2 linked regions of the Tribolium castaneum genome follow. The main gene of each other region encodes a partner of the protein of the gene in region 2 in a complex. Links are inferred from orthologs where the notes say so. Each region holds a gene or a part of one and is shown on either strand. Other genes may lie near its edges.

The links.
Region 1: eIF3d1 (region 2) and eIF3e share a complex: the UniProt entries of both Drosophila melanogaster proteins name them as parts of the eukaryotic translation initiation factor 3 (eIF-3) complex. The link is inferred for Tribolium castaneum from reciprocal best matches to the Drosophila melanogaster genes eIF3d1 and eIF3e.

What each region holds. Positions count from the first base shown.
Region 1 is NC_087394.1:22,552,736-22,561,417, forward strand, and holds eIF3e (eukaryotic translation initiation factor 3 subunit E), read left to right. Parts: upstream 1-997; 5' UTR 998-1,085; coding exon 1,086-1,175; intron 1,176-1,223; coding exon 1,224-1,502; intron 1,503-4,706; coding exon 4,707-5,633; intron 5,634-7,561; coding exon 7,562-7,588; 3' UTR 7,589-7,652; downstream 7,653-8,682. Other genes in the region: protein Abitram, read left to right, coding at 8,359-8,373, 8,432-8,682. UniProt on the Drosophila melanogaster protein: Component of the eukaryotic translation initiation factor 3 (eIF-3) complex, which is involved in protein synthesis of a specialized repertoire of mRNAs and, together with other initiation factors, stimulates binding of mRNA and methionyl-tRNAi to the 40S ribosome.
Region 2 is NC_087399.1:4,806,646-4,817,772, reverse strand, and holds eIF3d1 (eukaryotic initiation factor 3 p66 subunit), read right to left. Parts: upstream 8,504-11,127; 5' UTR 8,437-8,503; coding exon 8,235-8,436; intron 8,173-8,234; coding exon 7,910-8,172; intron 7,864-7,909; coding exon 7,752-7,863; intron 7,707-7,751; coding exon 7,597-7,706; intron 7,543-7,596; coding exon 7,404-7,542; intron 7,357-7,403; coding exon 7,064-7,356; intron 7,021-7,063; coding exon 6,451-7,020; 3' UTR 6,394-6,450; downstream 1-6,393. Other genes in the region: uncharacterized protein LOC659017, read left to right, coding at 1-231, 581-655, 803-972, 1,023-1,243, 1,290-1,426, 1,475-1,773; Sans (ankyrin repeat and SAM domain-containing protein 4B), read right to left, coding at 9,310-9,688, 9,738-10,033, 10,080-10,355, 10,406-10,685. UniProt on the Drosophila melanogaster protein: mRNA cap-binding component of the eukaryotic translation initiation factor 3 (eIF-3) complex, which is involved in protein synthesis of a specialized repertoire of mRNAs and, together with other initiation factors, stimulates binding of mRNA and methionyl-tRNAi to the 40S ribosome.

The DNA of each region.
Region 1 (8,682 bases), on a different chromosome or scaffold from region 2:
AAAAACACGTGCCAAATGTTTGTAGAATACGTTTTCTACAACTATACAGCTAATACTAATGCGTTTTGCCTTAGAAATCTTCTGCACTGACAGCAGTGTGACAACACTTAACCTTAGAACTGTCAGAATTGTTTTACTTTATAGTGGCTCCCTCTCAGAAACAAAAATATGCCATGGAACTAAGCAATGCGGCCAGCCGTGTGAAGGGAAAGTTCCTTCATTAATCAAGGAAGCTGTGCTCACTGAAATAGGATTTACTGATGATGCGGATAGATGGCCTTAGTGTTTTACGGGAAAAAGAAATCCTATTGGCGGATTTAAAATTTCATATTACTGAAGAAAAACGTGGTACCGATGCGCGGCTGACAAGTAAAAATTTCACAAACGTCAGCAAAATTTGAGTTTATTTTTTATATCACGTTAATTTTTCAAAGTTTTATTAAGATAGTGGTTCAAGGTGTCGTGTTTGGGTTAGACTATTGCCTACTATCGGTTAGGAACAACATGATCTCCAAGAATATAACGTAGTAATGAGCTCCAGAAGGTTTTCATTGATAGGTGCGTTTTTTCCAAAAGTGAGTTTTTTGAGAGCGAACCGCAAGTGAGTCACACTGTGAGGAGATTCCCATAGACAGAAGTTGCTAACATAAGGTGCCAGTTTGGCTGATTGCAAGTATGTCTTTATCATCGATGCGGTGACGACTATTAGTTTTGTAAACTTAATGGATTTAATAAATATCTTTAATATTAAATGTGTTTAGATCGTGTCATGTTGGGTAAAATTCTTCTATTTGTGCTGTTTGTGCATCCACCTTTTCAAATACAATTAGAAAATTTTCATAATAATTGTATTTGATAAGGTTTTGACATCATTTTGACGTGAGCAAAAATTTAAAAAATACAAAGTAATCGGGATTATTTAATTCGCGCCATTTTTAGTACGTGATGATGCGGCTAGATGGCTCCAGCTAGGAATTCATTGCCAACCATTATGTTCCGCTTCTATAAAAGTGTTATTCTAGGGTGCCGCCATATGTGTCACATTTTATAAAATCTTGTTAGTTTTTGCATAAAAACGGTATAAAATGGCCCAATTTGATTTAACTTCCCGCATGGGGCAATATTTGGATCGGCACTTGGTGTTTCCATTGTTGGAATTTTTGTCGGCTAAAGAGGTACAGTTTTTGAGGTTATGTTCATTCGGTTGATTCCGAATTTCGTAGATTTACGATGAAACGGAATTGCTTAAAGCCAAATTAGATATTTTGAGCAAGACCAACATGATCGATTATGCTATTGACATCCGAAAGCAGCTGTATCCAAATGAAGAAGTTCCTGAAGATCTGAAGCAAAGGCGTCAACACGTTGTAGCTCAGTTACAGGAGCTTCAACAGGAAGTGCAACCAATTTTGAAGATTATGGCCGACGATGAGGTCATGAAGAATATGGAAAACATGAGGGATTCGAAAACTTTGATTAATTTCCTTTCAAAGGATTACAAAGTAAATACAATGTGTTCAAAAATGGTTGTTCACCCAGTCGACTATGGAAGTCAAAAACAATGTTCCGCTTCGTTCAAATCATTATTGTAGTGTTTGAATACTCTCATCTCTGTCAAATCTTAGCTTTTTACTCACTTTTTTGCATTTCTCAAGTGTGGGGTTTGCCGTCATTTGTGTTTTACATCTCGGTGAAATTTGTTGTGTACTCTTTCGTTTTTAGATTTGAAGTTTTTTTGCATTAATTTGACGGTTTTGTCGCTTTTGACGGCATTCACAATTTAAATTAAGTGGCACATTACGTTCAAATTTCATAAGTGACTTGCAATGAACAATCATTTCTGAATAGTGTGTTTGGACGAATACATTTTTGCAAAGAAAATGCACGTCAAGCTAATGAATGTTTATTTTAAAAAAAGAAGGATAAATTGAAGAAATACCTTTATTTGTAACTTATGACCTACTTAAACACTACTTTAAAACACTATATTTAACATGAAATTAAAACAAAGAAAAATAGGAATGATATTTGACAATTAATTGTTTGAACAAAAAAAAGATAGATTTTTTTGTAATTTCAATCTTTATTGGCTTCAATGACGACTCAACTTAGCGCTGGCATACTTTTAACGAATCCCTTACAAAATTCTGGCGTTTTATTGTTCCAAATATGTTCTATTTTATTTTTTAAATCTTTCAACAACTATTGAGGAAGATTTGTAGGATACCTTTTTACTTTGTGCCAAAAAGACTCAATGATATTTAAATCAGAGCTGTTTGCTAGCCACTCAATAAACTGACGTGGAAGTGTTATTGATGTTAACGAAAATATTTAATATAATGTTTTAATTTTTCTGATATGATATTAGTTAAGCAAATAATAATAATAGGTATTTATAAAATACAAAATATAAAAACTTGATTAATCGAAATTTAATTAATTCTGCAGTGTCTTTCTGGATCAACGGCGTATAATGCTATAAGCAAAAAATTCTTAAGAAAAATTTTTACGAACTTTTTGCACAAAACATTTAAGTATTTCAGGTGTTCTAAAATAACATAAGAAATAATAACTTTTGCAGCGTTTTAATATCATGTAATTTGATTGCGATTTTATGCAATTAATGAATTAGTAATTGTTAAAAAAAATAAAAAAACAATAAACTGCCAAGGAAGTTTTATTGATGTTACGAAAATATTTAATATTCAAAAAAATTATTTAATTCTACTAGTATTAGAAGTTGTTACCATTTAATTAATAAAATAAAAAAAAACTGTGGGTCGGTCTACAGACAGCGAAATTAAAATTTAATTCCGAATTAGACTAATTCGAGTTTAAGTTGTCATTTAAAATGCATTGGCAAATGTCAAGTTAATCACTAATAAAAATTTTATTGTAATTGAAATATTCTGTAAACTTCTTTGTTTAATTTAATTTCGCAGTTGGCAAGTAAGGTATAATCCTGCTTTTTCCGTAAATTTGTGCTAATGCGAGAAGGGTTAGCTGGTTTGATCTTCCGGTGATTTCCGGGGCAAATTGTTCAGTCAGTTACAGAATTTGTTATCACTTATAATGCAACAAAAATTAATGAAAACTTAAAAGCAATTAAAGAATGTTGGCATATTAATTAGTCACACAAAAATCAGTGTTTTCTATTAAATACTTAATTTTTTTCTCAAAGATTTTTTTTTATTTTTTTTTACATTTCCTTAAATAAACATGAATTACTAAAAATTATGTTAATAAAATTGAAAATATTATTCCGTGTAATTAATTAATTATTAATTTTATAATTTCAATAGTGTCTTTTAAATGAATGATATTTTAAGCAAAAAATTCTTAATAAAATTGTTGCTAACCTCAAAATTTCGATTTATTAAATTTTAATATTTTATACAATGTGTTTTTAAATGATTCTCATCCAGTTAACTTTGAAATTGGTTTACATGTAAAAAATTGTGCCGCTTTGCTCAATTGAATCCTCTGTTAATAAATGTAAAGTCTGTCAGTTGGCAAATTCATTTAATTTGTTTTAAAAACTTCGTTAAAATGTAACTAAATTATTATACCGTGCAAGAAAACACTTTTATTTTTTAAGCTTACTTTATATTTGGAGCCTTAATAAATGGAGAATGGTAATATTCGATGTCTAAATGCCTATCATTATTTATATGAAGCGGTATTTTCTGATTTTACTGTAGAAATTCACAGACGACTAGATGAGAATTATTTAAAAACACATTGTATTATTTATTAATATTTATTTTATTTTTTAATTAATTAAGGGCCAGTTTTATAATCGAATTTAAAGGAGCATTAAATTAAATGTTTAGAATGTGAAATGTCCACAAATCCATAGTAACCAGCACATTATAAACAACTTTTAGTTGAATGCTCCTTTAAATCCGATTATGAAATTGGCCCTTAAATTTTATTACAAAAATTAAATTATTTTTTGAACATTTTATTAAATACATATTTTCATTAACATCAACAATAATTAACATCACTTTATTGATTGATTATTCTTTTGATACATAAATCGATGATCGAATGCATTCGAGCAAAAAAAGATAAATTTTGGGAAAAAATCACGTTAAGTGTCAATTTTGTCTAAGATTCTGGCCCATTTTTTTGATCAGTGCAATTTCGTACGCTTTCTTGCTCCAAAATGACAAAATTTACTGCAGAAATTTTTCAAGAGTTTTAAACTGGCTGAAAACTCTGAATTAAACAAACACTGTCTTGAAATCAGTTGGTTTTAGACTGCTTCTTGCTAATTTGTGCATTATTTTGTCTAAAAACAGTTGATTTAAAGCGAGAAAACTTTCATAAGAGTCTGAAAACTACTGCTTTAAAATTAAAACTTATCACACTGATATCTGCTCTAATGAAACAAATTTGGAATTTGCTACTCTAAACAAGCAACAAATTTGAGAGCTCTCTCCACTATCTCAGAGCGAACCGAGTATGCTCTGCTGGTCCCGAAATGTTTTAGAGAACGCATAGAGATTTACATTTGTTTGCTCGTTAGGAGTTAGAAGAACGATTAGAGAACTCTTTGAGGTAAAAAATGTAATTCTGGAACGCAGCATCAATAAAATCACTTTGATAATTAAAAATTAAACAAGATTTCGTGCAAATATTTAATTGTTAGGGCTCGTATAGTAACCAATAGTACATTTACTATAATTTTCATGTTTCAGTTTGAAATTGAGATGATTGAGTCTCTCCACAAACTGGCGAAATACAGATACGAGTGTGGCAACTATTCAGTTTCCACTTCCTATCTCTACTTCTGCATGCTGGTGTTGCCCCCAAATGACAAAAACTACTTGAGCGTCTTGTGGGGCAAATTCGCTTCCGAAATCCTGGTTCAAAACTGGGAATCCGCCCTTGAGGACTTGAATAAACTGCGCGAATACATTGATTCCAGCCCCAACCAGTTTGGAGGCAACAGCCTCCAGTTGCTCCAGCAAAGAACTTGGTTGATCCACTGGTCGCTGTTTGTATTCTTCAACCATGCGCTGGGCCGTGAATTGATAATCGACATGTTCCTCTATCGCCCCCATTACCTCAACGCCATCCAAACCATGTGCCCCCATATTTTGCGTTACTTGGCCACTGCTGTCATCATCAATCGAGTGCGCAGATCAGCGTTGAAAGACCTCGTTAAAGTCATCCAGCAGGAAAGTTACACTTACCGCGATCCCATTACTGAATTTTTGGAGCATTTGTATGTTAATTTTGATTTTGACGGTGCGAGGCAGAAACTGCACGAATGCCAGTCTGTTCTGTTCAATGATTTCTTTTTGATTTCTTGTTTGGATGAGTTTGTGGAAAATGCGCGTCTCATGATTTTCGAGACGTTCTGCAGAATTCACCAATGTATCAGTATTGGGATGTTGGCCGAAAAATTGAATATGAATCCGGAGGAAGCTGAATGTTGGATCGTTAATTTGATCAGAAATGCACGATTAGATGCGAAAATTGATTCCAAATTGGGGCATGTGGTCATGGGGGCGCAGCCTCTGTCGCCGTATCAGCAACTTATTGAGAAGATTGATACGTTATCGGTCAGGTCGGAGACGCTCTGTGGGCTTATTGACCGGAGGTTGAAAGCAAGGACAGATGTAAGATTTTTCTTTTTTTTCTCTCTAAATAATACAGGGTGACTTAGGGGTGTGTAATCGGTTTATAAGTTTTTTTTTTCTGATAGATCTATTTAAAGTCCACAAACTAATAATACTCTTATTATACACAGGCTGTTGTACAGGGTGGTGAAACAAAGTTACATTTTTTAGAGTATTTTTAAGCGTATTTTTTTTAAGAGCGATCAGTAATAAATCCGGTTTTGATCAGTATAAATAATAAATGATCAGTATTTAAATAATTTGTACACAGTAAAAAAATTAAATGACAAGTAAAGCACGCGCAGTATTTTATTAAAATTTGTTCTGTGTAAAGTCCCCAGAAAAAAAGTCGCATATGCACAGTCTAATTTGAGTTTGCACAGTTTGTAGTTATTAATAATGCAAGTGCGAAAACACAAGCCTAAGCAGATCTTAAACACAGTTTTATGTAAATTGTCAAAACTTTCACTGAAAAATTACGAATAGAAAAATGACTATTTGTTGAGCTCTATTACTTGTTAAAATTAATACACGTATTTCTGATACAGCCGGTATATTTCTTTATGAATTAATTTTATTATTAATTCTTGGTGGATGACATTTATTTAAAGTATCAAGTAATAATTAGATTACTAATGTATTTAGTTACATTAGCATATATCAAAAAATAAATTGCCATTTGACTTGTCAGATTCTAGACTAGCAAATTTTCTTGTAACAAAATACATTTTATCTCGAAAAGTATTTTAAATTTGTTTTACAAACTCTATACCATTAGAAAGCTTATCAAAAATGCTATCGATCACAGCTATCGATATGTTAAAACAAATACATATATTCGGTTCACTTTCATAAAAACCATTGTAGTGGAAATTTGGTACTCTTGGCATTAACTTTTATCATGAGTTGTCATGCTAACAGGTTAGTTAATTCGACCACAATGGCTTTTATGAAAGTGAACCGAAAATAAATTTACTATTTGAAAAAAAAAGTTAGTCTGCTTTTTTTGGCACACCCTGTACATCAGGTGTGTGTTTCGATTAAAAGTCGACTATTTATTGAAACTACAAAAAAAAAGTTTTTCTGGTGTAAATTTGTGGGAAAATATTTATAGGCGACTTCACAGTGAGTTTTCAAAAGCTGTTTTTTTTTGAATAATTTCGAAACGGAAAGAGACAGACCTATAATTGTTTATAAAAAATTTCCTTATTTTTTCACCTAGAATTTAATTATACAAAAATATATAGGCTGTTCCTATGTACAACACCCTGTGTACTGGGTATGTCGCGAGGTAGTGCACATACTTTATTTTAACCATAGATTAACCATTAAAAATAAAGTAACTAATATTTTTTATTTTTTTCTAAAAACGTTTATTATGGCATTATTGACTCTCAAAAATTACCTAATAATACTTATCTGATTTTTATAAAATTTGGTATACAATCGTTATCATAGGTAGTTATAGACTGATTACACATCTCTGGGTCAGCCAGTACAGGGTGAGTTTTAAAAAAACGAGCTACTGTGTCACAAAAATTTGAAAATATCGAGACAGTTGTTTTTTCAATTTTTATTAATAATGTCTTAAATCATCCAGGTTTTCTGATGGCATTTTAAAGATTTAGGAACTTCTTTCCGTTATTTATTTTCTATTAATCTAATTAATTCTATTTTTTAATTAATTGTTTTTTTAATCTAATTAATTTATTTTCTGTGACAATCATCTATGCTACTTAAAAAGTTTATTTTGATGACATTGCAAATATTGCACTGTTGCAAATTCTACTAACTGAAATGGGATATAATTTTAATAAAATTAATGGAAACTAAAAAAATAGACACAACTGATTGTATTATTATTAAAAAGAACCACATAGTCTTAAGCCTTATCCAAAACAATTAATAATTATTATATTTTTTTACAGATAAGGTGGGGCAATCAAGACTTTTAATCGCGTCGGACTCCTCTTATAAACTGTATTGATATAATATAATAAAATTTTGTATCAATCTCAATTTTATTTATAAAAAAAAACGAATGACGAAAAACTTGTCTCTTCCCTGACTTTGGTCTATTACAAGTAGCGCGATAGTGGTTGCCTGGTTGGATGCTGTAATACGGACATTGTCCCAAAAACAACATGACCATTGTCGATGAAGCTAGCACCATTCTCGTTTTCATTAAGGTCCCAAGGGGTGTTTGTCCGAACATGATTTTTTTACAGTTAAAGGCCCTATCGAAGGGTTTAATCTCCTACAAAAATAAAGAAAATTGCAGGATATAAAGTCGGTGAAGAAAAATAAAGTTTGTAAAATAGAGAAACTATAAATATTGAAAAAAATCGTTAAGGTCCCAAGGGGTGTTTGTCCGAACATCATGATTTTTTTATAGTCGAAGGCCCTATTGGAGGGCTTAATCTCCTGCAAAAATAAAGAAAATTGTAAGATATAAATGGGATGAAAAAAAAAGTCAGTTTGCATTGCTTGAATGTGAGAATAAAAAAGGCAGAAATTAAATGCAGTTAAGTTTTAATTTGTAAGTGTCTGGTGTGAACTTGGCTGTAGAAAACGAGAATGGTGGGGAAATGGTGCTAGCTCCATGCGCGCAGCAATTGTCTGGTCGACTGTAATGTTGGGATTTTGGTGCTATCTTCACCGATATACATAACCAAACATTTTGGTACCGCATTTAAAAAATTATAAAATAATTAGTTGTAAACAAATGGCCGAGACAGAGGTTAGTGTAAATTAATTTAAAATATGCTTTGCAAAAATTACATTTGTTTAAAAAATAGGTGGCTACAGGCTCGAGTGTTGAGGTCAAAACAGAGCCCAAAAGTCCCGAGAGTGACGAAGAAGTTGACGAAAAACCAATACCCTCCATTCTTGACAGCATTTCTAAAGAACAAATCGCCAACTTTCAGCCGTACTATGAGCGGTATTTTGAAAAAAAGTACTGTACAAAATTCACGACCGAAAATGTAAACTTGGATACCTGTGTTAGGGTTCACACTAACAAGGTTTGCGTGATTTCTTTATCAGAGAA
Region 2 (11,127 bases):
AAGTCAACGGTGAAATAAACACTTCAGCGGTCCACGTGGTGGACCTGCGGAGCGACACCATAAGCAAGCCCACCCCCGAGATGAGGGAGGCCATGGCGACGGCGGTCGTCGGCGACGACGTCTTCGGGGAAGACCCCACCGTGGCCGAGCTTGAGCGCCGCTCGGCCGAGCTTTTGGGCAAGGAGGACGCCGTCTTCGTGGCCAGCGGCACCATGGCCAATTTAATCGCAAGTGAGTTTATTGCCACTTCTTTTGCAACGTGTCAAATGTCGGCGATAAAGCGGAAATTTCCCCGCTGAAACTATTTTTTTTTCACGAGATAACGCAGAGCTTAAGAATCAACAAAATCAAACTGGTTATCTTGATCAAATACATTTTTGCAAGTAACGATTTTGACGTCCGAGCGGGTTTATTGAGCAATCGTTTATCAAATGGGCAATTATTTCTTACATCTCACGTGTTATAATTTAATTTTTAATTCAGCATAACTTAATTATTTGTTTGCGTTAAACACACACGTTCTGATTATTTGCCAATTTCGATAATATTATGCAACTCTAACGTCTTATCACTTTTTAAGTTATGGTCCACTGCAGCCAGCGGGGGAGCGAGATAATTTCAGGCGATAATGGGCACACATTCAGATTTGAACAAGGTATGATTGTGTAGGTACTAATTTTCGCATTGCGGTTTCGCAACTTCATTAAATACAGTTATGGATAGAAACGAGATTGTTACCCGCCCATTAATCACTTAATCAGAAAGAAATTTCCATTGGTAATTAGTTGTTGCGCAATTTTAGGGGGCCCCGCCCAAATTGCCGGCGTCCAAGCCTCCCTTATCCGCAATAACAGTGACGGGACGTTCAGTTTGGACGAACTCAGAGACAGAATCCGGAAAAACCCGGACTGTCATGAGCCCTACACCACTCTAGTCATTATTGAAAACACCCACAACATGTGTGGCGGAAAAGTAAAGTTATTCATAATAAAAAACCCAAAAGTACTATTGTTCCGCTTCAGGTATTACCGTTAGATTGGATCGAAAAAGTGAAAAACATTTCAAAAGAGTACAACATTCCGGTCCATATGGACGGGGCTCGCGTCATGAACGCCGCCGTCTACCTCAAAGTACCTGTCGAACGCGTCGTCCGGGACGTGGACACCGTTTGCTTCTGCCTGAGTAAGGGGCTAGGCGCCCCCATTGGGTCGATTCTCGCCGGCAGCAAGACTTTTGTCGACAAGTAAAACCAGCGAGTGATTTTGGCGATGTCTAACGCGGTTTTGCAGGGCTAGGAGGACGAGGAAGGTCCTGGGGGGCGGCTGGCGGCAGGCTGGGATTATCGCAGCCGCGGGGCTCGTGGCCCTTGACAAGATGATCGACCGGTTGCAGGAGGACCACGACCACATCTTGCAAATTGCCAGAGGTAAATAGTTTGGTTTTTATGGCAGGCGGAAATTGAGCGTTGTTACAGCTATCGATAGCTTAAGATCGGACATCTTCAAAGTTGACTTGCCCTCAATTCACACAAATATTTTGATGATGTATATTGATCGGAGCAAAGTGGCCGTCAAAGAAGTCATCTATCGGTTGGCCAAAGTGTTTAAGAATGATATAGTGAAAGTTAGTGTTAGGGCTTCCTCCATTCGGCCCGATTGTGTCAGGTTTGTGACGTACTGGCAGATCACCGATGATGATATCAGAGATACGATCGACAGAGTTACGTTTGTTTTGAAAGAATTCGATGACCAATTCAAGTCGATCAAAGCTTAAATAGGTATTAAGTGTTTATTATTATGATGATTATATTTTTTGATTGTTTTTACACGCTTTTGGAATTTACACGATATGACCTGAATACAAATAAGATAATATTTAAGTGAAAACGCATTTATAACTAATAAATATATTTTTATTGTGTATGGCTTTCCTTTGGTCACAACTCTCCCGTTTACTCTCATTCCCAAGGGGTTATACATGTATTACAGTTACACAAACAAACAAATAAAAAAATAAAAAGATGAAGATTTAAATCTCCTGGTGTACGTAACACATTTTTTTTTTCTCAAAATGACAGAGCTACTGTTTGTAAAATAATTGAGTTGTAAAAAATGAACGCAGTATTCAGTCAAAAAATCGCTATACAAGGTGAGTCTGCTGAAAGTATTTTTTACTACATCTCAAAAACTAAATGTCGCACGCAGAAATGAGCGTTTGCTATTAAAGAAAAATACTTTGTATTAAAAAAATTAAAAATATGATGATGATAAATGATGCTCCGAACAAAAAAAATTGTAAAAAAAATTGTCGCTAGCTGTTTGAATTTTTAATTTTTGCAAATTATTTACCTTCGATTTTTTTTTCTATAATAAAAGCTTTACTGTGAAAATTTTTCTGTAAAGCACTCAAACATAAAATCTTGTGCGCTATGCCCTCGGCTTTATTTATAAAACAGCTTCTTTCATAAAGAATTGCATCATGTGTAGGGTACTTATTAGCTATTAGATAAATAGCTGTTAGCTGTGTCATACAAGTAACTCGTAATTAAATTTATTTTTATTTATTTCCAGGTATTAGCGACATGAAGTCCAAGACATTTCAAGTGGACTTGTCGGGCGTCCAAACCAACATCCTTATGATGTATTTGGACAAGTCCATCATCACGGCCAAAGAAGTGCAAAAGCGCTTAGCCTCTGTTTTTGAGACCGATGAAGTTAAAGTTTGCGTTAAAACTAGTTCGAGAGACGCAGGAGTTATCAGATTTGTCACTTATTGGGAAATTAGTGACCAGGACGTCACAGCTGCAGTAAAAAAACTACAGCTCGTGATTAGAGAAATTGACAACAGACATAATTAAATCGTATTGCATAAGCCGTAACGTGAAGTATTCCTTAATTGAAGTATTATATTGTTCGTAACAATAAACGAAATTACTTTTTGTGGCTATTTATTTGAATTTGAAAACCCCGCTTTCGAAACAACCCAGTGAAGTGTGCATGAACCGAAATCCCGTAAGGGTGAAGTGAATTTTGCTAAGATTCGTTCATTAATCAATATTTATTACTTAAATAATAATCTCATCATATGCTGCAACGAAAAAATAGAACCTGATTGATAAATAAAATTGATCAGACAGACGTCAAGTTTAGGTTATGTTTACTCTTCCCTGATGTCAGAGATTTGTGTATAAATAATGCCTAAAACATTATTCTAAGAAGGAATAATCTATTCGAAATGACGAGTATGTTTAAACGATAGATGCAACTCCGGTTACGAGTGAGGAACAAGTTTTGTTTTGCCACTTGTGAAACCACAAGAAACCTACTGGCGGGAACACTGCACAATTCTAGGGCAATTGAAAATGAAACTACAAAGCACAGTGATTTTGGCCCAAGTTCAAGTCAGTTGCGAGAATTGGACAGACTAGGGGAGAGGAGACGAAGTCCAGAGAGGCAGTATTCACGTCACAAAAGTCGAAATTGGAATACACCCGGCTTTTGTCACACACGTTGCTATTAATTTCTTTATTGTTGTGAAAGAATTATTTTTATTTTTATTGAATCCGAAATAATGTTTGTTTTTGCGAATATTTCAATTAGTAAATAAACTCGCATTTTGAACCTGCCGCCTTCATCATTGTCGAAAAGTTTAGCACCGCTGAGCACCGCCAACCTGTGGTCACAAACAAATCCCCTAAACGGAGGACCAAAAACTGTCCAATTTGTTGATAAATCACACTATTATTAGGTGATAAGTCTTCAGCTCTTACAAATATTCAATCAAGTAACGATTACTACAGACTGATGTAATTTAAAGTGAATTATAATTAAACGAATGCGAGTTTCGCCATTTTATTGTTTTCATGTTGGCAGAGCTTAGTCTAATTTTTGCGGCGTCATAAGTTTGTGATTAGAATTAACTTCCCTCGCTTACATAAGCACGAAATAACAATGGAAAAAGAAGAATCCCAACAAGCTGAAGTCCAGACTGCTGAAGTAACGACATGTAATGAAGAATCTGTGAAAAAATTTTGTGACGCTGACATTGCTGGTATTCACCAAATAGCGCAGTTTTGGGTGTTCTAACATTTTTCTAGGCCAGGATTCGTGTGAAAGCCACCCCTACAAGCACCTTCTCAATTTTGAGCCCACCGTTGAGCAGTTGTCTCGCGTTGAGAACATAGAGGCCCCCAAAACGCTCAAGGAAACCCCTCTGTGTGACATCGACACGAAAACCAGTCTCGAGGAATTAATAACCGATTTGAAAGCCTGGAAGGAGTTAGGGGTTGACGTTGAATACTCGGATCATGGCTACAAAGCTTTGACTTGTCTCGTCCAGATATCGACCCCTGACAAAGACTACATCATCGATGCGATTGCCTTAAAAGACGAGTTGCACGCCTTGAATGAAGTTTTCACCAATCCAGACATTGTGAAAATTTTTCATTCGGCGGTAAATGACCTGAAGTGGCTCCAGCAGGACTTGGGTGTTTTTGTCGTCAACTTGTTTGACACTCAAATCGCGATGAAAGCGCTGGGGTACAAAAAGTTGGGACTGGACGCACTTTTGCAGGACTATCACGTCGCAAAGGATAAGACAATGCAACGTCAGGATTTTCGCAGAAGGCCCCTGCCTCCCAAATTTAAAGACTACGCCCGTGTGGACTCCCATTACTTAATCGGGTTTTACCACAAACTCAAAAATGAGTTGATTGAAGCGAACCTTTTGCGGGCTGTGCTTGATGATTGTAATAACTGCTGCAAGATTCTCTATCCTAAAGTTGAAGATGAAGCGTATTTGTCGGTTCGTAGAAATGTCGAAGAAATACACAAACGCCAGTTGTTAGTTTTGGAAAAACTGAACAGCTGGAGGCACCAAATTGCCCAATATTTGGACAAAAACGTGGGCTGTGTCTTATCTAAGAGTAATATGGAGACCTTGGTTTTGCAAATGCCGAGTGATTCGGCTGATATTATGCAAATTTCGCAGTCATCACACGTGAAGGAACATTTGGACGAAGTTATGCAAATATTGTCGGAGGGAAATCCCGTCCGGTTTAATGAGTTTTCTAGAAATAAACGTAAATTTAACCAAACTGGGTTTGGTAGAAATGAACCGTCGGGAAGTAATAAGAAAAAATGGAATAATCAAATTGGCAAAAATGTGCAAAACATGTTTGACTTGAGGAACACTTTGCCCCAAAGGGACAGGAAGCCCTTCTGGAACAAGCAAGCGGCCAAACGTTTTCACAAGTATAACTAGACCACAAATTTTTTTTTTTTTGGATTAATTCTTTTTGGTAAGTTTCAATTTTATTCAGTTAATTATGTTTTTTATGAGTGGTTTGGACCACTTTTATTTTTTTCATTTGGGTACAAATGCGTCTTTATGGAAACGCTACTTCACAAAATACAGCTTAATGTGTTTGAAAAAATTAGAAAGATATTTCGCTTAACTCCACAATGTGAATTCATAAGTGAAATATTTCGAAAACTACTGTGGGTATAGGGCTCCTGTTGTTGATAAAAACAAAACTAAAACATTTAAGATATTGGAAAAGACAATAACAAACATATTGTATAAGTGCGGCAATAAATTATATAGTTCATTCAAAAAAAAAAAAAATAAAGTAACAAACCTTTCCCCCCTCCATTATTTCATTCGTGGAAGAATAACAAATTAGTTTCGAGGGAAAAATAGTTTAAAAAGCTGATGTTTTGTAAAATGAAAAAAATTATTAAAGTGCACTTATCTTCATGGCATCTACTTCCGCTACAATATGTAGCAATAAGGTATTGCAAATAAATAAAAACCAAGTTAATATTATGTCATTATTATACCTACCATTCCACATTTCACTTACAATATGTTAATTGTATCACATATTCAATCCCACTTGGAGATGAGCAATTGAAAAAATACACTTTACGACATCATAAACTCAAATGTCATCAAATTAGTTTGAAAATTTTATAAAGTAGTTAATCTGTTGTAAAATGTTGCACTCAAACGATTATAACTTTTCAACATCTCAAATTGTGTGGGTTCGAGTAAAAATAAAACTGTTAATTTGATTTAGTTATTGAATGTTGGAACGTATTAACAAAAAAAGAATGAATCATACGATAATATGACATCTTACGTCATAAAAATGTGCTGATAATCTTGAATAAGTAAATTCTAAACCTAATAAAGTAAATCCGCAACAAAATAGAATAATGCACTTACCTTTATTTTTCTTTTGTTGTGAATACGACAGCTTTACTTTCTTTGTTGAAAAAAATTAAAAAATGCGTGAGCAAATGCACCTTGCTGCTGCTACACGACAAGAGTCCGTTTTATTTTTTTTTCACTTGTTGGTTAATACTATGCACGAGAATTAACTGCAAATTATTATTTATTGATCATTTTATTTCGGCCTTTCGCTAATACATGATAAAAATACAAAATCTAGCGTTTCGCACTGTTGGTGTATGGATAAAGGGTCTGGAAAGTCACGGAATCAGGGGGCACCTCATCCTCCGACTCCGACTCCCCGTCCGATTCGAACGTATTATCCGGAATATCGTACAACCGGATCATCGGCTTATTCGGATCTTTCATAATCAAATACTTCCCATCCTTCTGTTTCATAACAATGTCAATAATACACCGCAGAATCCCCCACGCATTATCCATATTCAGATTAATCTGAGTGGCAAACTCGTGCGGCTTATACTGCTGTGTACCCAGAATAACATGCTTGCTGTTATCCCTGACATGGGCCCGGGAAACATAACCGAATTTAATTTGGTCGCTGCCAGCCAGCAACGCCTGAACGGTCCATTTGGCCAGCTTGCAGGCGTTATTACGCAGCTCATTGGCCAAAACGGCGCCTCTCTGGGTGTCCAGTTTCTGGCGCCACTCCACCCCATTGGCCAATTTGGAATCCCATTCGTTCAAGGCCTTGATTGACAGGAATTGGAGCTCGCCATTCGGGGACTGGACCACGGCATCGTGTTCGCAACGGACAACCAAAAACTACACAAATTAAACGTGGACAGAAACAAAACGAAAAAATTACTATTCCGCTCCCTAGGTCATATTTGCGGTATCTGTAGGCCACACTGGCGACCTCCCCTTCCTCCTCCTCGGAGATAAAAGGGTTTGGGTTGTCGAACTTGAAGCGGGGCTCCCCGGTACCTGTTCTTAATACCTGTTGACTGAAATTGTGGTTAATGAAAGTGGCTTCCAAGGCCAGGTTTCGAGGGGAGTTTAAGGAGTTGCCGTCGTCTTGTGGGGGCTCCACGGACGTTTCGTTGACGGTTAAAAGATCAAACTCCGTATTGTCACGCTTATCAAAGAAGAGTTTATCGCCTGAAAAATTTTGTTTGAGATTTGTTACACTTGTAAGGGCACAGTACCAATTTTTTCAATCACGATGTCCCAGGAATAATTCGAGCGAGTGCAGCACATGATGGTCGCAAGGATCGCATCAGTGGCGTACACATTGCCCTCCGTTTTACTCAACTTACGGATAATCGGATCATCAGTTGTTGTAACCTGAGGATAATTAATTTTAATTTTTTGCCATCAATGATATTAAAAATAACCCACTGTATGGAAGATACGATTGACGCTTTGCAGCGGCTTCTCATTCTTCACGTTGACACGATCGTACGACTTGTCATAGTACTCCAACTCGCCACAACAAGTAATATCCTCGCCTAAAAACCAAAATAGAAAAATTCGCATTGCTTAATTAAACCAACCGTCTTTGACGTTAGGGAGCGACAATTTTCCCAACCGAGGGAAATCCATTTCCTCAATGGTGACCCAATCCGGTTTGACCGTAACCGAAGCGTCCCTGATCTTAATCTGGGGCTAAAACCGCCAACTATATTGCGGTAAAACTCAAGCGAGATCTTACCCGTCCTTGTCCCCATTTCTTAACCTGGCTCCTCTTATACGTGTCCCTGGCTTTAACCCCCTTCCCGAGGGACTGCATGCCGCTGCCTTGCACCCCAGCACGGCCGCCACGCCCGCGCAAGTTGCGCTGGTTCGCGCGGAAGCGCCCCCGTTGATAGGGGGGCTTCTGGACGCGTGTTGTGTCCACCAAATGAAAAGTGCTCTCGTCTTCGTCATGATAATACGCGTATTGACTGCCAGAACCGAACTGGGACGCATACTTGTCTAAAATTGCGAAAAATAAGTCACTTAACCTCAAATTTGACATGTGTCAATGTCAGACTAACTGGCATATTTCTTGTCTTGGAAGGCGGCCCCCGTCCAGTCGCTGATTTTGCCGAGACGGTCGCCTTTGCTGAAGGGCTGGTACGGCATATCTTTGAACTGGTCGGGCAGCTCGCAGGGCCCCCATCCAGTCGGGTTGTCCTGGATTACGGGGGCCACGAATTTGGGGACCTCACCCGCTGATTGACCATCAGTCATAGTCATTTGACTTGCTTTCAGAAGTTAGGAAGTGTTCAATTCAATATGTTGAAGCAGAAACCGCGAGTTGTGCACAACACTTGGCAAAAAGAAATGTGCGCGCGCAGATTCTGACAATCGACAGTTTTTGAAATTCGGCGCTTTTGAAATCAAAATAACATGGCCAACTTACATCAAATGTCGCTGCGCTTGAGAAAACATTTTCATCCACTTTTTTTTCAATTTAATTCTCTAATTTTTGTTTACGTGTTGTTTCACTTACCTTTTCTACACTTTTTTTCAGAAAAAAATTGTCACCCTGATCCGCAGCGACATTTGATGTAAGTTGGCGATGCTAAATAATAATGGAATCCTGTTAAAAATCCTTCACTCTTGGGTTTCCAATTAATTTTAAATTAAATTTTTTCCATTACAACCTAATTGATTTATTGCATTGTTAATAACTAATATTTAACTTGGAAAAACAGCAAGAAAATAAGCTCTAATGGCAATAAGGCATTATTTTTTTCTATTTTGGTGTCTCACTAACTTTATTTTGCATAAAAACTCATTGCCATCACAAAGAACGCAACAGCGCAAAAATTTGTATTGAATTCAAATTCTTCTACACGTAACTTCACTTTTTCGTAGTATATTTTACGTCCCCTATTATTGCGTATTGACGATGACATCAGATTTCTCTCAGCAAAGAGAACACTGATAAGGAGTGGGTTTAATAAGCTCGCATTTGCATAACACACATTTATTTATAATAAATTTAAATACGAATTTGTAAATATTATGCCTGGCACACATCTGTACAAAAAGTGCCCATAAAATACAAGCAATACCGTTATCATGTCCACGACAATGAATAAATAACACATTTTGACTCCATATTTACAACATGCTGTCTGTGACTTCGCCCGGATTCTCCAGCGCGGCTTTGCGTTCGCTGACAGCGGTCACAAGTTTCCTGTACGGCCCTAGGGGCAAGTTCAGGCTTTGGAGATCGTTTTCTGTCAGTATCATCAGCGTTTCCAGGTCGATTTTCTGCTCCTCGAAGCGGGGAAGGTACTCTCCTAGCCCCCAGGCGGTCAAGAAGCGTTCCAGGGGAGCGTTCGGGTTATCGTCGTCGCTGGACTCGGGGTCTGATAACTCGTCTTCGATTGATAGAGTGTTGGTTCTGGGGCCGTAGCTTTCCCCTGACCCGATTGAACTCTCCTCGTTGGGGCCTTCGCTGGAGTAGAAGCCTTGGAATGTGTTGGTTATGCTCTTTCTAAATAAAAAACGTGTTTTTGTGCTTTCGCATATTGATTATTTGTTACCGGAACGCTATGCTTCCAATTCCTGGGCGCACGAAAATACTCGCTGGTTCTTGTTGGAGTTTAGTGTCGCCGTTTGTTTCCAATTCGTGCATGAAGTCAGGCTGGGAGATGGACCTTGTGAGGCCGTTGCTGGACGGTGGTGGCGGCGGAGACGACTCTATGTACTCAGCTTCGTTGAAGACCGATTCCAGACGGCCTCTCCTGCCATCGATGGTCCCCGTGTAAAGTACCTCAGAGTCTCGCCGATACCCCGTTAGTGATCTGACTGAGCGTTTGCCGTCTTCAATTTCACTAATCTGGAACGAGTTTTTCAAATAAATGCTTATTTACTCTCGGGAGCACCTTGAAGTCGTCGTCGAAGCCAGGCCGCGTTGTTCGGCTGGCGAGCACCCGCTTCTGCACCGACCCCAAATTCCGCATCCCGGAAACGGTCCCGTTGCCCACGATGGTGCTGAACCTCGGAGGGGCCGGCCCCAGATTCGACAAGTTCGACATGGACCCACTTTTAATTCTGGTTTTGAGCGTCTCTATCATCGACGGCCTGTGGTGACCTTTGTTCATACGTTTCTCCAGCTTCTCTTGAACTTGCTCTTTTTTGACTTGGCGTTTGTTGAATTCCTGAAAAGAAAGTGAAACGATTGGTTTCTCTCGACGGGGCCGTGTTTTACTTTGATGCGTTTTTCTGACTCTTTCTTTGCTTTTTCTTTGAGTGCTTTGGCTTTCTTTTTGTCGCCGGCCTCCAGTTTGGCGTGGACGCCGTCCAAGAACCGCAGGATGTCGTCGCGGTTGTTCATTCCGGCGAGTTCTTGGGCGGTGCGGCCGTCGATATCAGTCGAGTAAATGTTGGCTCCGAAATTGACTAGGAATGTGACGATGTGTTTGTGGCCCTGCGCCGCGGCCAAGTGCAGGGCCGTGTTGCCGAAGAGGTCGGCTTTGTCCGGGTCTCCCCTGCAACGTATTGATACAAAAAATCCATCCGGTTTAAGCAAAACCAAATAATTTTAATAATAAACGAGTAAAATTGCAATTATTAAACCTTATCCTTTGTAAATTAAATAAAATGCCTTGAGTTCAAATTCTTTTGTAGTTAGTCTCGATAAAAGTCGGATAAAAGTGATAAAAATGTTATCTGAAAATAGAAATCTCGTGTTATTTATGATAACTGACAGTAAAATTTCTTAGGTAGTAAATTAATTTTATTCCTAATTACAATGTTGAAAAGTGAGCTTTCACTTGCTGTTATTACAATGGTTTAAATATTTCAAATAACTGCCACTGCTACTTCAGTTAATTGATTGGACACAGACAATTAACAACCTATTTCAGTAGGTAATTGTTAAATTAAGTAAAATTATTTACTTGGATAATTGGTGATTTCCTTTTCCAAATT